Daphnia pulex: one gene and its partners. The protein of the gene in region 2 interacts with the protein of the main gene of each other region in a biochemical or structural test. Links are inferred from orthologs where the notes say so. Each region holds a gene or a part of one and is shown on either strand. Other genes may lie near its edges.

Region 1 (4,074 bases), on a different chromosome or scaffold from region 2:
GTTCCTGCCAATGGAGGCGAGCCCATTGAACACACTGCTCAAAATTCTTCGGACGTTCCTCAACTAAGCTGCGGTGGACGGCCTCGACTATCTCGAGTGGTTGAGATCCTGTTAGCTTTAGTGTTCTCTCCATGAATTTAGAATCAACTAAATATTGAGCAGCGCTCTCTGCTGATTGCCGGAACAACCCTTCGAACATATCCCGAGCCCATTGCAGTGTGTGTTCAATGGCATTAGGAAAATTCTTCAGCGTACAGATAGGAATTGATTTTTCCGGAGGATCCTATAAGTTTAAGAAGAAAGTTGATTAATTACAATAAACCAGAAAACTAGCATAAAAGAAAAAATAAATAATAAGCTATATTACTTGAGACGAACTATATGACTCCGTTAGATGGGGGATAACAACTTGAACGTTTCCTTTGGTACCCAGAGTTCCAGATTCGAGCAAGGGCTTGTGGTAATAGACGCAGCGCCTATCCATGTAGATACGGGCATCCACGTTGTCGAGGGCATTAGCAACGCCATCCAATTTCGAAAAAAAATCGTCATCAAAGAACTGCTCCGTTTCGGGACCGACGCGATTCTCGAAGGCTGTAACGTTGGCCTGAGGGTTCATCACCTTCACGGCAGCGGCCGCCGAACTGGATTTGGGTTTCTGTACGTCATGCGACCGGAAAAGAAACTGCCTGTTCAGATTGGACTTTTCAATCAAGTCCATGTCTGTTACGAAGACTTGGCCCCCTTCACCAGCACCAACTCCAATCATGGCAAAATTTTTGAGAAGCTAACAAATAGAATATATTTTTTAATTAATAAAATCTACAGAAAATTTATTACAAAAACTTTGATAATTACCTCACAACCGATAGCTCCAGCTCCCACAATGAAGTAACGTAGGGATCCAAGCTTTTTCTGGAATTCATTGCCAAACACTGCCACCTGAAAATGTAAAAAAATAAAATGCATAACTGATGAAAAACAAAAATAAATATTTCAATACCTGTCCATCATATCTGGATCCAGTAAGCTTACAGTTTTCTTCGGTCAACGAATCTTGGTTATCTGGCAGACACTCGGTGGCATCGAAGTATAGCCATTGAACAATGGGAGAAAACTTTTCGCTACACGCCTTCATAACTTCTTGAGCGACAACCCCGCCGAGAGTGGCGTTTAAGGGGTTCAAATCTCCTTGACATACATGGGAGAAGGTGGCCAGTAACTTTTCGTCAACTTCTTCAACTTTAGATGAGCCACTTAGACCGCTGTTTAACTCTTTAGCTAAATCCACAAACTGTTGACTGTCTTTACGGCTCCAAGGAGTTGGCAATCGTCCCTCCTTCTTGACGTAGGCGTCCAATGTCCTGAATGCTAGATGGATTTGGGGAGGCCGATCAAATTTGCCGAAATCTGTCATCACGAATTCTGGTTCTTCGAGAGCGTCAGCCAACGGTTTGAAGTGGATTTGCTTAGGCATTTTCACTTGGGTAACCACTCCTCCACGTACATAGTCGCTGAAAGCGCTCGTGTCACCAATGCTAAAGGTGTATGGTCCAAGTACTTTGATCTTCTTGGGTTCGCAACCATTCAGCTCAACCATGCCCTGTACCTCAGAGAAGGTAACACAGTCGCCATCTTCCAATCCGTGCCGGGTCTCATCCAAGCAAGTAACAACACTTGCTTCTTCTTTAGACACTCCAGCAATCATAGCAGAAACGGGATTTTCTCCAGTAGTATCGATGATGGTGAAATCTTCCCCAAAGTCACAGAAGACTTGGGCAAACAGACCTTGTGTTTTAGAGACGATGAGAGCATTGCCGAAGCTACGAACGATCTCAGAAACCCGAAGTTGCTCTTCAAGACTTGAATTAGTTAAAACTACAACTCGGTATTTCTTCAAGAATTCTTTGTTCAACTCTCCTGTATAAGTTTCTACTGGGACATACTGGTTGAGTTCGGCCAGGCTCTTGTGAGAAACTTCAGCTCTGTTCTTTCCCAGATCTGCTTCCGATACATAAAACTGGGAAGAAAGGTCAGAGGCTTTGCAAATTGAGTTGTCATGAAGGGTGACGGACTTCACACCTCCCAAGATGATATTCTTAGCAATTTCCACTCCAAGGCCTCCAAGACCGGAAATCAGGACATCAGAAGTTGCCATCCTCTGCATAGCTTCATGGCCCAATACGTAAAGTTGTCTGGAATAAAGACCCTCATCGATGGTGTGGATGTTGCCATTTCCTGCCATTTTCGGTTGCTGCTGAACTTCTTTTAAATGGTGATTGCTACCGTTACTGCTGTTCCCGTTATTTTCTTCCAACTTCCTTTTCTTTGCAGCAGGACTGGGAGACGAGGGTGACGGATCCACCTCAGCAGTGGACATCTAAAAATTAAACTCAATACCTTGGGCAACACGAGCGTCACAATGGGTGCTAACAAACCAGTTTTCTTACTTTAATATAAAAAAAATTACGGTAAGTTTCAAACTCCGAACGATTGGAATACTCACTTAGACTATTCCAACGAAGGGAGAATTATGAACAATTACGACAAAATGCCGGCGAATTTGCACACCAGGATTGGAACGAAAGATAGCCAAACTGAAAGAATGACGAGCAAGAGAGCAACAGAAAGTCAGTCAGTAATTACCAGTACTTTCTATGAACTCGAAAGTGCTGCGTGCTGCCACCTTTCTCCCACCGATGACTCGACGTAGATATGGGGAAATGGCGGGTATCAGCTGATGCAAGTAAGTCCTTGTACCGGCAATTCCCTATTCCTACTAAAATCCAAAGTAAAAATGTCTGTAATCAACGAGTAAGGTGGCGCAATAGTCGACTTTTTTATTAGCCGATTATTAAATAGAGTGATGATGATGACAAAGAAAGTACGCGTAATAATAGTTACATTTCCCGCCGACAATTTGATCGCTGAATTAAAGAGCATCTGGCAACTTGAGCGTTATAGCTTACAGTTTTACACGTGCTTGGATTGAAAATTCGGCTGCTTAAAAATACTGTAAAATCTGCATTTTTTAAAATAAAATATAACAATAGGATCTAATCAGGTATAATTGAATATTATTAAAATAGCTTACTAAAATAAAAACTCAAACCAAAATTTTCTTGAAGATTCATTAAGCCTCCACGAAGATTTGACAAATATGAAGAAACTCTCAACCAAAAAAACGAAGACTGCTTCTTCTTCAAGAAAAAGCAACACAAACGATAGTTCTGACTCAACAAATATGGCAGAGAAAAAATTGTCATTTGTCAGTCATTTGCTTTCAGCCAAAAGTGTCTATGATTCCTTAAAAAATGGACAGACCAAACCAACTTCGAAAAGATCAAAACTTAAAAAAAAAACTTCACGAAAGAACAAAACATCATCCAAATTAAATGTAGACAACAGTTCAACCATTAATCAAAGTGTGTCGGTGACTGGCATTGGTGCCTTAAAACTTAAATTAAAGGAGAGCAACATTTCTGATGAAGATAATTCATTCCAATCCTCTCCCAATGAGGATGATTCTTTTTTAACAGCAGAAAAAGAAGGTATTGAAGAAACCTTTGCTATGGATGAGGAATCAAGTTCTTTGCAAGCAGTCTACCAAACTCTGGATACATTTGATTTCCTTCTAATTAATCCCAATGAAGTTCTAGCATTCATCCCATTTCAGACATGTTTTTACTTCAAAGGACGTCTTAGTTTGACATGTCTTAGTGGGATTGCCGAGATGCAAGGCTTTTCTATTGAGCAGAATTTAAGTAAAACATACCATGTTTTTTCTCCTAGAGGATACAGTCTGCAGTGCATCCGTTCAGTCGGAAAAAGCAATACGTCTTTTAATGCAAGCCGCGCTCACGCTCTCTTGAAGTCTGCTGGGTTGACGTGTGAAGAAAATCTTTTGAAGAAAAAGAGCTCTGAAAATGTCTTGCTTATTTTGCGTTCCCTTAACTTTGGAATGATTGATTACATCAGCCGTATTTTCCCCATCAACATCCTCAAGAAAGAAGAGTGCGTTCCTCCAGAATCTAATTATTGGAGAGATGAAAATCGCAACCTATTTGGCAAACT
Region 2 (3,192 bases):
GAAGGGGTTCCACTTTCCCAACTACATCAGCTAAATATTAATTGTTAGACATTTTATTTTTGTACAGATTACATAATGTATAAGAAAATATACTTGTCAATTTACTGCTGAGAGACATCCATTTCTTCCAGGTATCAAATGGATATGGACCCAAGTGCTGATCAAGATTTTTTAAATTGGCTTTTAAACTTTCTCTTTCTTCATCAGTACCTATTATGGATAAACACTAAATAATAAATTAATATTAAATAATGATTTATAAAATAAAATTACAATCGTTGATGACATCTTCTATTTCTGGGTTCCACTTACGGACCACAACTTCCTTCTTATTGAAGTTGTAAAAGAAACCTGTTCTTGGCGCTACGGAACCTTCCTTGCTTACAGAGCTAGAAATTATATAAAAATATACAATCACATTTTGTACCTCACAGTGAATGTTACACTCACACAACTGTTCTAACAAAAAATAACTTATTTGCCTGTAATAAATATAGTGAATTCCAGGGGGTATCATTTTTATGCCTTTGAATTTTTCGCCGGTTCTCCAACTGTTGAAATCTATTCCTACTTCAGTCCCAATTGGTACGCCAAGAAGAAATAAAAACGCGCCCTCTTCAAATAATTTGTTAGCCAATTTTTGATCCATTCTTTCCGTGTTTGACACTTGATGGTTTATATTTTAAAACAGAATGAAGCTGAGTGAATGAAACCACGCAAAAGCAATGAACGAACAATACTAGCAGACGACAGTTTAAAAACAAACAACATGGAGGTCAGACGTCAGATCAGTACCGGATGCCGACTTGCCGAGTTAAATTCTAGCAATTTTGCATAAAAAAAGGGAATAAAATTAACATGAAGAAGGATAGGAGAAGAAAGTGATAAAATAAAAAATTTTATGTGTTGAAGCCTGCCATTCAATCTTAATCATGCCTTATTAGTTAATTTGCCCTTTTTCAATTTATTTCAACTTTCAAGTCGAAATTCTTTCTAGATGATTCATGAAAATAATTAAAATATTCCGCAAACAGAACAGCCAATTAATCTAACCAAAAAATTTTTACTGGTCATTTTCTACGGTTCTGAAATAAAGGTTTAAACTCATTTCCGGCATTTGAAAAGCAATACCTTTTGTTTAGCTTTCTCGTGTATTTCCGTTTGTAAACCAATTCAAATAAACTTTGTTCATTTTAAATAAATCGTCTTAATTTGAAAAATAATATGTTTATATGTCTAATTCTTCCCGTGTGGCCGGGTCGATCTCCTACCGATTTTCGTCACCAAACAATTTGACAACGTCTTAAATTAGCAATAGGGCACTCGTATAGCGTGAAAACTTTCCGTCTTCTCTATTTGGCTTTAAAGTTACCATCTATTATACGAAAATCTTATTTTATACTCGTTGTTTGTTCAACAAATTGATGCGAAATGGCAGGCTTACCTAGAAGGATAATCAAGGTAACACAAATCTTAATTGTAGACTTGCATCAAAGTGGGAGGCAACGTGTTTTTTTCTCCCGATCCTATTATGGGACCGGTAGTATTCTCTAGCAATATAGTATATTCGTCATTAATTTGATCAATAGGAAACTCAACGTTTGATGGCTGAGCCTGTCCCAGGCATTAGTGCAGTTCCAGATGAACAAAATGCTCGTTATTTCCATGTTGTGGTTGCAGGTCTGTAAACTTAAATTGCAACCTTAAAGTGTCATTCTGGTACTGACTAGTTCATATTGATTAAAATTCATAGGTCCAGAAGGTTCTCCATTTGAAGGTGGTGTTTTCAAATTGGAACTATTTTTGCCTGAAGAGTACCCAATGTCTGCACCTAAAGTGCGATTCATGACAAAGATTTATCACCCTAATATTGATAAACTTGGCCGAATTTGTCTTGATATTCTGAAAGGTGATTATTTTTATTACTTTAGTGTTTGCTCTATCAAGATTGTCAAGTGTTATGTGTTCTATGCATGTATAATCTTGTGTTTTGGTTATCAGGGTATACCTGTATTGTTATGACATTTGTGCTTTGAATTTTTAAGTAACTGGGGAAAAAATCAGTTTTAACTTCAGAAAGTTGCATTTGCTTGAAAAACTTAAGTGTGTGGATTTGGCTTTGTTTAATATTTTCTAATATTTTCAGATAAATGGAGTCCAGCTTTGCAAATTCGGACAGTGCTGTTGTCGATTCAAGCTCTATTGAGTGCGCCCAATCCCGATGATCCATTGGCCAATGATGTTGCTGAGTTGTGGAAAGTCAACGAGGTAGAAGCTATTCGTAATGCTCGAGAATGGACCAGAACTTATGCTATGGGAAACATATGAAACCTGGATCTGTGGAAGGAAAAAGAGTAAAATTGTCAATCCGTTACCGAGAAATTGTGTTTGAATTTAGATTATTTTGCTTTCTTTTGTTCCTCGTCCATCAGCCTTTGTCGACTGATTCCCCTCCCTTCAATTGGTTGAACTGTCCCCGATGGTGATCAGCCAAAAAACTACATTTTGCTCGTTCTTATATCCCAATCTTCTTTTGTTTGCTCGTCAAAAGTTCTATCGACGGTTCATTCCAATTCACGCGTCGTTAAAATGATCGTCGATAGCCTACACTTTTTACCGTTTAGTACCACGAGTACCTCAAAAGGATACTAAAGAATAATAAAAATGCCGTCACCCGTGGAAGTCTAGAGTATCAAATTGTACAGCTGTGTATTTACTTGTCGTGGATGAGGAGGGTGAAATTATAAAGACGGATGAGAGCGCACATTTATCACGAAACGAAAACCATCCACTCGACAGACATAATCAATTTTTTACCAAATCTTCCCCGACCTCTTCGCACCGTTCAGATGAGGTAGGTTCAAACCGAAAAAGGGAAGCGAATATTGGTACTGAGATCCGATCAGAAACAGGAATTCCCAACACTCAAAAATAATCTCCAACATTATGGAATTTCGTGGTTACAAAAAAAAAAAAGGGAAAAACTTTGAATCCAGAATAGTTATAGACAACTGCCTCTTGGTTTTTCATGTATAGTTTTCGGTTTGGACGTCTGTCGCTCCAGTTCTATCTCACTGAAATTCGGTTGGGACCAAATTATAGCCTTTATAGATATTTAAAAATTATATACTTCTTGGCAGTTGAGAAAAGATCGGTATGGGGTCAATTGGGTGCGCAAACAAATACAGTTCA
Region 3 (4,068 bases), on a different chromosome or scaffold from region 2:
TTCCAAACGCGTTGAAGGACGTAAAAATGGGTAGTGATGTGGTGATCCGCTCAAGAATGGACTGTTGCCCAGTGGGATCAATGGTGGTGGAGGATGGTGGTGGTGACCGTGCTGCTGGTGGTGAATGTACAACGGGTAGCCACGGTGGTAAGGTTGCTCCTGCTGATGGGCTGGTTGGATTTCGACTGCTGCGGCACCTTGAACACCGGGCATGGCAGGTGGTGGAACGCGTTCCATTGGTACGGTTCGAGGTGGTGGTGGTGGTACTGCGGGCGGGATGGCTGGTCCTGGACCTATACTGATATGCAAATTGCCAGGCAGACTGAAATGGGCAATGTGGTGGTGGTAAGACGGAGCAAAAGCATAGGCAGGAGGAGGAGGCAAATGGTGATGGCGAGGATCTAAATTGACAGGAGAACTTTCAACGACAATTTCAGCTTGAACGGCCGGCATCATGTGGCTACTCAAATCGGGAGCGTGAACAGTTCTGAATTGTGGCGAAGGACTGCTGTTGCGCTCCAGTGCAACTGGATGATATGGAGGAGGCGGACCAGAGAAACCAGTGGGTTGTTGTTGATTTTGAATGCCTTGACTCATCATCGGAGAATCCGGAATCGATGACGGACCGCTAACTTCGACGGTTTCTCCAGCTGCGACACGTTGTGCCATGTCCATATGACGTCGAAGAGCTTCTTGCGAGCGGTGCTGTGAATGCCAAATCCTCTGGTGAATGGGATGGATACGCATGAAGCTTCGAGCAATGGCAGGCGGCATCGTACAACGTCCGTCCACGGGTCGTGAAGTGGGGGCCGCATGGTAAATACCAGTTGTTTGAGGAACGAAAACGGGTGCAGGTTGAGCGACAGAAGTGGCTTCAACCAGCTGACTGGGTTGCAGTGGAATGGCCGCAGCCTGATTAGAAGATCCATCTCCTGCTACGTGTTGAGGTGACGGAGTGGCTACTGTTTCAACGGCCATACTTGGATAACTCCACCAGACGGGCGAACGAGCTCCACCGTGGGTTTGAACGGTTGACGGCAAACGTAGAGTCAGAACTGGCGGTGGTGGAGGATGGTGATAAGCTGGCGGTGGTGGTGTATACGAAAAGGCAGTGGCATGATGAGCTAGCGGAGATGGTCGAAGAGACTGATTAGGAATGTAATGTGCTCGTATTGGATTACCATTGTTTGGCCAAGCTACACCCATGGGCGTGGGCCGTCCTCCGTCCACGTAAAACTGCCCTGGACATCCGCACCAAGCACCTGGGCGGTTTCCTGCAGAGGACGATGGAGTAACGGACACAAAGGCCGGCGATGCTCGTCTTACTTCAGCGTCTGGCTGATTGTTCTCTTCAATCACAACCGGTATTGGTGCCATTGGAGGCTCTGCTTTAGGTATAGCTCTTGACTTTACAGACGACGATGGTTTGGGCTGTCTCCCAGTAGAACGAGAATAGCCCGACGATGTAGAAGGATTGGGAGTCGACGTTTCGTCTTCTGAAATGGTAAGATCTACGACTTCGGGTTGATGCTGAGAACGCAATAGACCAGGTCGGACGCTTACTACTTCGATGCAACTATCGTCATCGTCAATGTCTGATTCGGTAGCAGAGGAGGAACCGTCAGTCAGACATTCTAATTGTAGATCATCAGCAACTGGGCCATCATCGCCAGTTACCGTTCTTGCAACTCCGATACCCGATGGACCGGGTACAGGTTCTCCACCAGAAGTCTCGGCTTGTTTTTTGGACTTCGATGCGTTGCAATTTGAATCCTGTTGAGTTGTATTCGGTCTTTTTCGGCGGACATCAGATGATGAAGATGATGCTGCTACAGCAGAAGCAGCAGCTGGAGGAAAAGATTCTACGCGGTTACTGTTGGCCCAATGGGGAGGTGCTGGTGCCTCCTCCAGTCCAAAGTGAAAGCCATCGACGTGGCTACTGAAGGAGGCAAGAGAAAGAAACTCGTCGACTGGGCCAGGTGAGAGAGAGGGATCGAAATAAGGATTTCGAGTGATAGTGATCTCTCTCTCCCCACTCTCCATACTGTCGTCAAGGAATACAGGATCTGGTGGTCCAGACAGACTGTACACTGAAGGTTGCAAGTTAACACTGACATTAATACTTGTTGGCATTTGAAGAGTCAATGGCAAAGTTTCATCATAGTGGAGTGCAACTGGGGGTGAGAGCAGCTGTGACGGCATCAAGACAGGGCTGGGAGTTTCTAATTCTGGCATGTCCAAATCCTCTTCATCAAAATGGCCTGATGGACATTCACCATCAATAGAAGGGCAATTCCTACTAGGTGTTCTGGGCGGATTAGTCCTTCCATTTCCAAATGCCAAGTGATTGTTTGTTTCTTCTGCTGAAAGTGATGTTTGTTTCGGAACATTTTCTGTTGCTGACTTGCTACTATTTGTTCCCGAGCTATTGGATCTTTCAGTGTCCATTGTATTTTTTCTAGACGGGCCAGCTTGTTCGTCACCCATTATTGATAACAACTCACTCGATAGAGACGGCTCGAGGCAAGATGCTCCCAAGGGAAGAAAAGACGATGACGTTTTCCTCCCTACACCACCTGATGAAATATGTTTATATAATGAAACCATTTGTCATTAAAATTAAGATTAGTTTGACTTACCATTAAAGACTGAAAAACAAACTTAACAGTAATCCTGTATGAAAACTCGGTAAAGGGCAAAGAGTCACGCCAATCAAGTACAAAACCCTTTCTTTCCAGTTAAGGACAGCTGATGAGACAATTGTCTTTGCTGTAAACAAGTGCCAACGGTGCTGCCAAGTGCCAATATTTCGGTCAACATCGATTTTTTTACTTATTTTTGGTTGTAAGTTTGAATGATGAAATGATTCATTAAATAACTTAAAAATAATTACATTTATGAGTTAAGAATTTCTAAATTAATAAAGTTTACGTAATTTTAGAGTTCATTCAATAATATTTAAAAAAATATGAACAAAACTGTCATCGTCTCTTTTCCTTTTGCCTGACTGGCTGACTGACATTCTGACAGATTAGTTATTCGTTTTTTTGAATAATAAATATCACAATTTCGTAAACAAGTTGAGAATTTTTTGTGGGGAATGTCCATAAGTGAACTGAAATACTAGTATTGCTGTCGTTCGAAATGAGTGTGACACATAAAGAATCGGGAAGTAAAATCGTTTTTGTTACTGTAGGGACTACCCAGTTTGACGAATTAATAACTCAAGTTTTGCATCCAAACACGTTAGAGGTATGTTCGATATTTACGTTGCATTACACATTTTTCCTAGTAAATAATAATGTATAAAATTTGAGCATCAGATTTTGGAAGATGATGGGTACACACATCTTGTTCTGCAAATTGGACTTGGTGTTGAACCTCCAATTCCTATTTCACGAAGAATACAAATATCTTGTTATCATTTTAAAGAAAACATTTCTTCTGATATGGAAAAAGCCTCCCTAATCATTTCACATGCTGGTGCTGGCAGTTGTCTTGAGGCCCTCAGTGTAGCAAAGCCATTAATTGTTGTGGTTAACCAGAAGCTGATGGGCAATCACCAGCTAGAACTTGCTGAGAAGTTACATTCTGAAGGACATGTTTATATGTGCTATCCAGAAACCTTAAAAACTACCATTGTTGATTTTAGAACTACTAAACTCCAGAAATTTCCTAGAAATAATCCAGTTGCATTCTCAGCCTACCTTGAAAAATTGATGGGATTTCAAAAATAAAGTTCAATTTGTGTATTGATTTCATACATTGTAAACGTCTAAGTTGAAAAAAAAAAACGGTTGGATATGATGCGATAAAGTTAGTGTCGCGAATAACGATCTGCCGAATAGCCAACGGATCCAGACTGCCCGATAACAGGGTTGTTAAGACTCCCTATGTTTCCTGTCGCTGGATTATATTGCGCGGATCCACTAAGAGGGGGAGCTGATCCAGTCCAGTTGTTATTAAATGATCCAGACGACGCCATTGACCTTCCGACAGGCATTAACGAGGATGACGATGCGCTCCAGCGATCTTGTTGCGTACTTCCGTTGCCAGACCAGCTGGTGT

What was found.
Region 1: of the proteins of ubiquitin-conjugating enzyme E2 N (region 2) and ubiquitin-like modifier-activating enzyme 1, one has a biochemical effect on the other in vitro, tested with the Homo sapiens proteins (10 studies listed by BioGRID, with this or other methods). The link is inferred for Daphnia pulex from reciprocal best matches to the Homo sapiens genes UBE2N and UBA1.
Region 3: the proteins of ubiquitin-conjugating enzyme E2 N (region 2) and E3 ubiquitin-protein ligase Arkadia-like form a complex in vitro, tested with the Homo sapiens proteins (4 studies listed by BioGRID). The link is inferred for Daphnia pulex from reciprocal best matches to the Homo sapiens genes UBE2N and RNF111.

Annotation. Positions count from the first base shown.
Region 1 is NC_060018.1:5,974,030-5,978,103, forward strand, and holds the start of ubiquitin-like modifier-activating enzyme 1, read right to left. Parts: upstream 2,801-4,074; 5' UTR 2,653-2,800; exon of another isoform or gene 2,507-2,652; intron 2,401-2,506; 5' UTR 2,381-2,400; coding exon 1,004-2,380; intron 943-1,003; coding exon 859-942; intron 788-858; coding exon 368-787; intron 284-367; coding exon 1-283. Other genes in the region: polynucleotide 5'-hydroxyl-kinase nol9-like, read left to right, coding at 3,161-4,074. UniProt on the Homo sapiens protein: Catalyzes the first step in ubiquitin conjugation to mark cellular proteins for degradation through the ubiquitin-proteasome system.
Region 2 is NC_060019.1:11,513,182-11,516,373, forward strand, and holds ubiquitin-conjugating enzyme E2 N, read left to right. Parts: upstream 1-1,234; 5' UTR 1,235-1,431; coding exon 1,432-1,461; intron 1,462-1,589; coding exon 1,590-1,680; intron 1,681-1,753; coding exon 1,754-1,909; intron 1,910-2,146; coding exon 2,147-2,328; 3' UTR 2,329-2,692; downstream 2,693-3,192. Other genes in the region: protein AAR2 homolog, read right to left, coding at 1-30, 94-210, 274-389, 483-649. UniProt on the Homo sapiens protein: The UBE2V1-UBE2N and UBE2V2-UBE2N heterodimers catalyze the synthesis of non-canonical 'Lys-63'-linked polyubiquitin chains. This type of polyubiquitination does not lead to protein degradation by the proteasome.
Region 3 is NC_060024.1:8,994,934-8,999,001, forward strand, and holds the start of E3 ubiquitin-protein ligase Arkadia-like, read right to left. Parts: upstream 2,801-4,068; 5' UTR 2,640-2,800; intron 2,577-2,639; 5' UTR 2,488-2,576; coding exon 1-2,487. Other genes in the region: UDP-N-acetylglucosamine transferase subunit ALG13 homolog, read left to right, coding at 3,145-3,252, 3,318-3,737; SAFB-like transcription modulator, read right to left, coding at 3,818-4,068. UniProt on the Homo sapiens protein: E3 ubiquitin-protein ligase. Required for mesoderm patterning during embryonic development. Acts as an enhancer of the transcriptional responses of the SMAD2/SMAD3 effectors, which are activated downstream of BMP.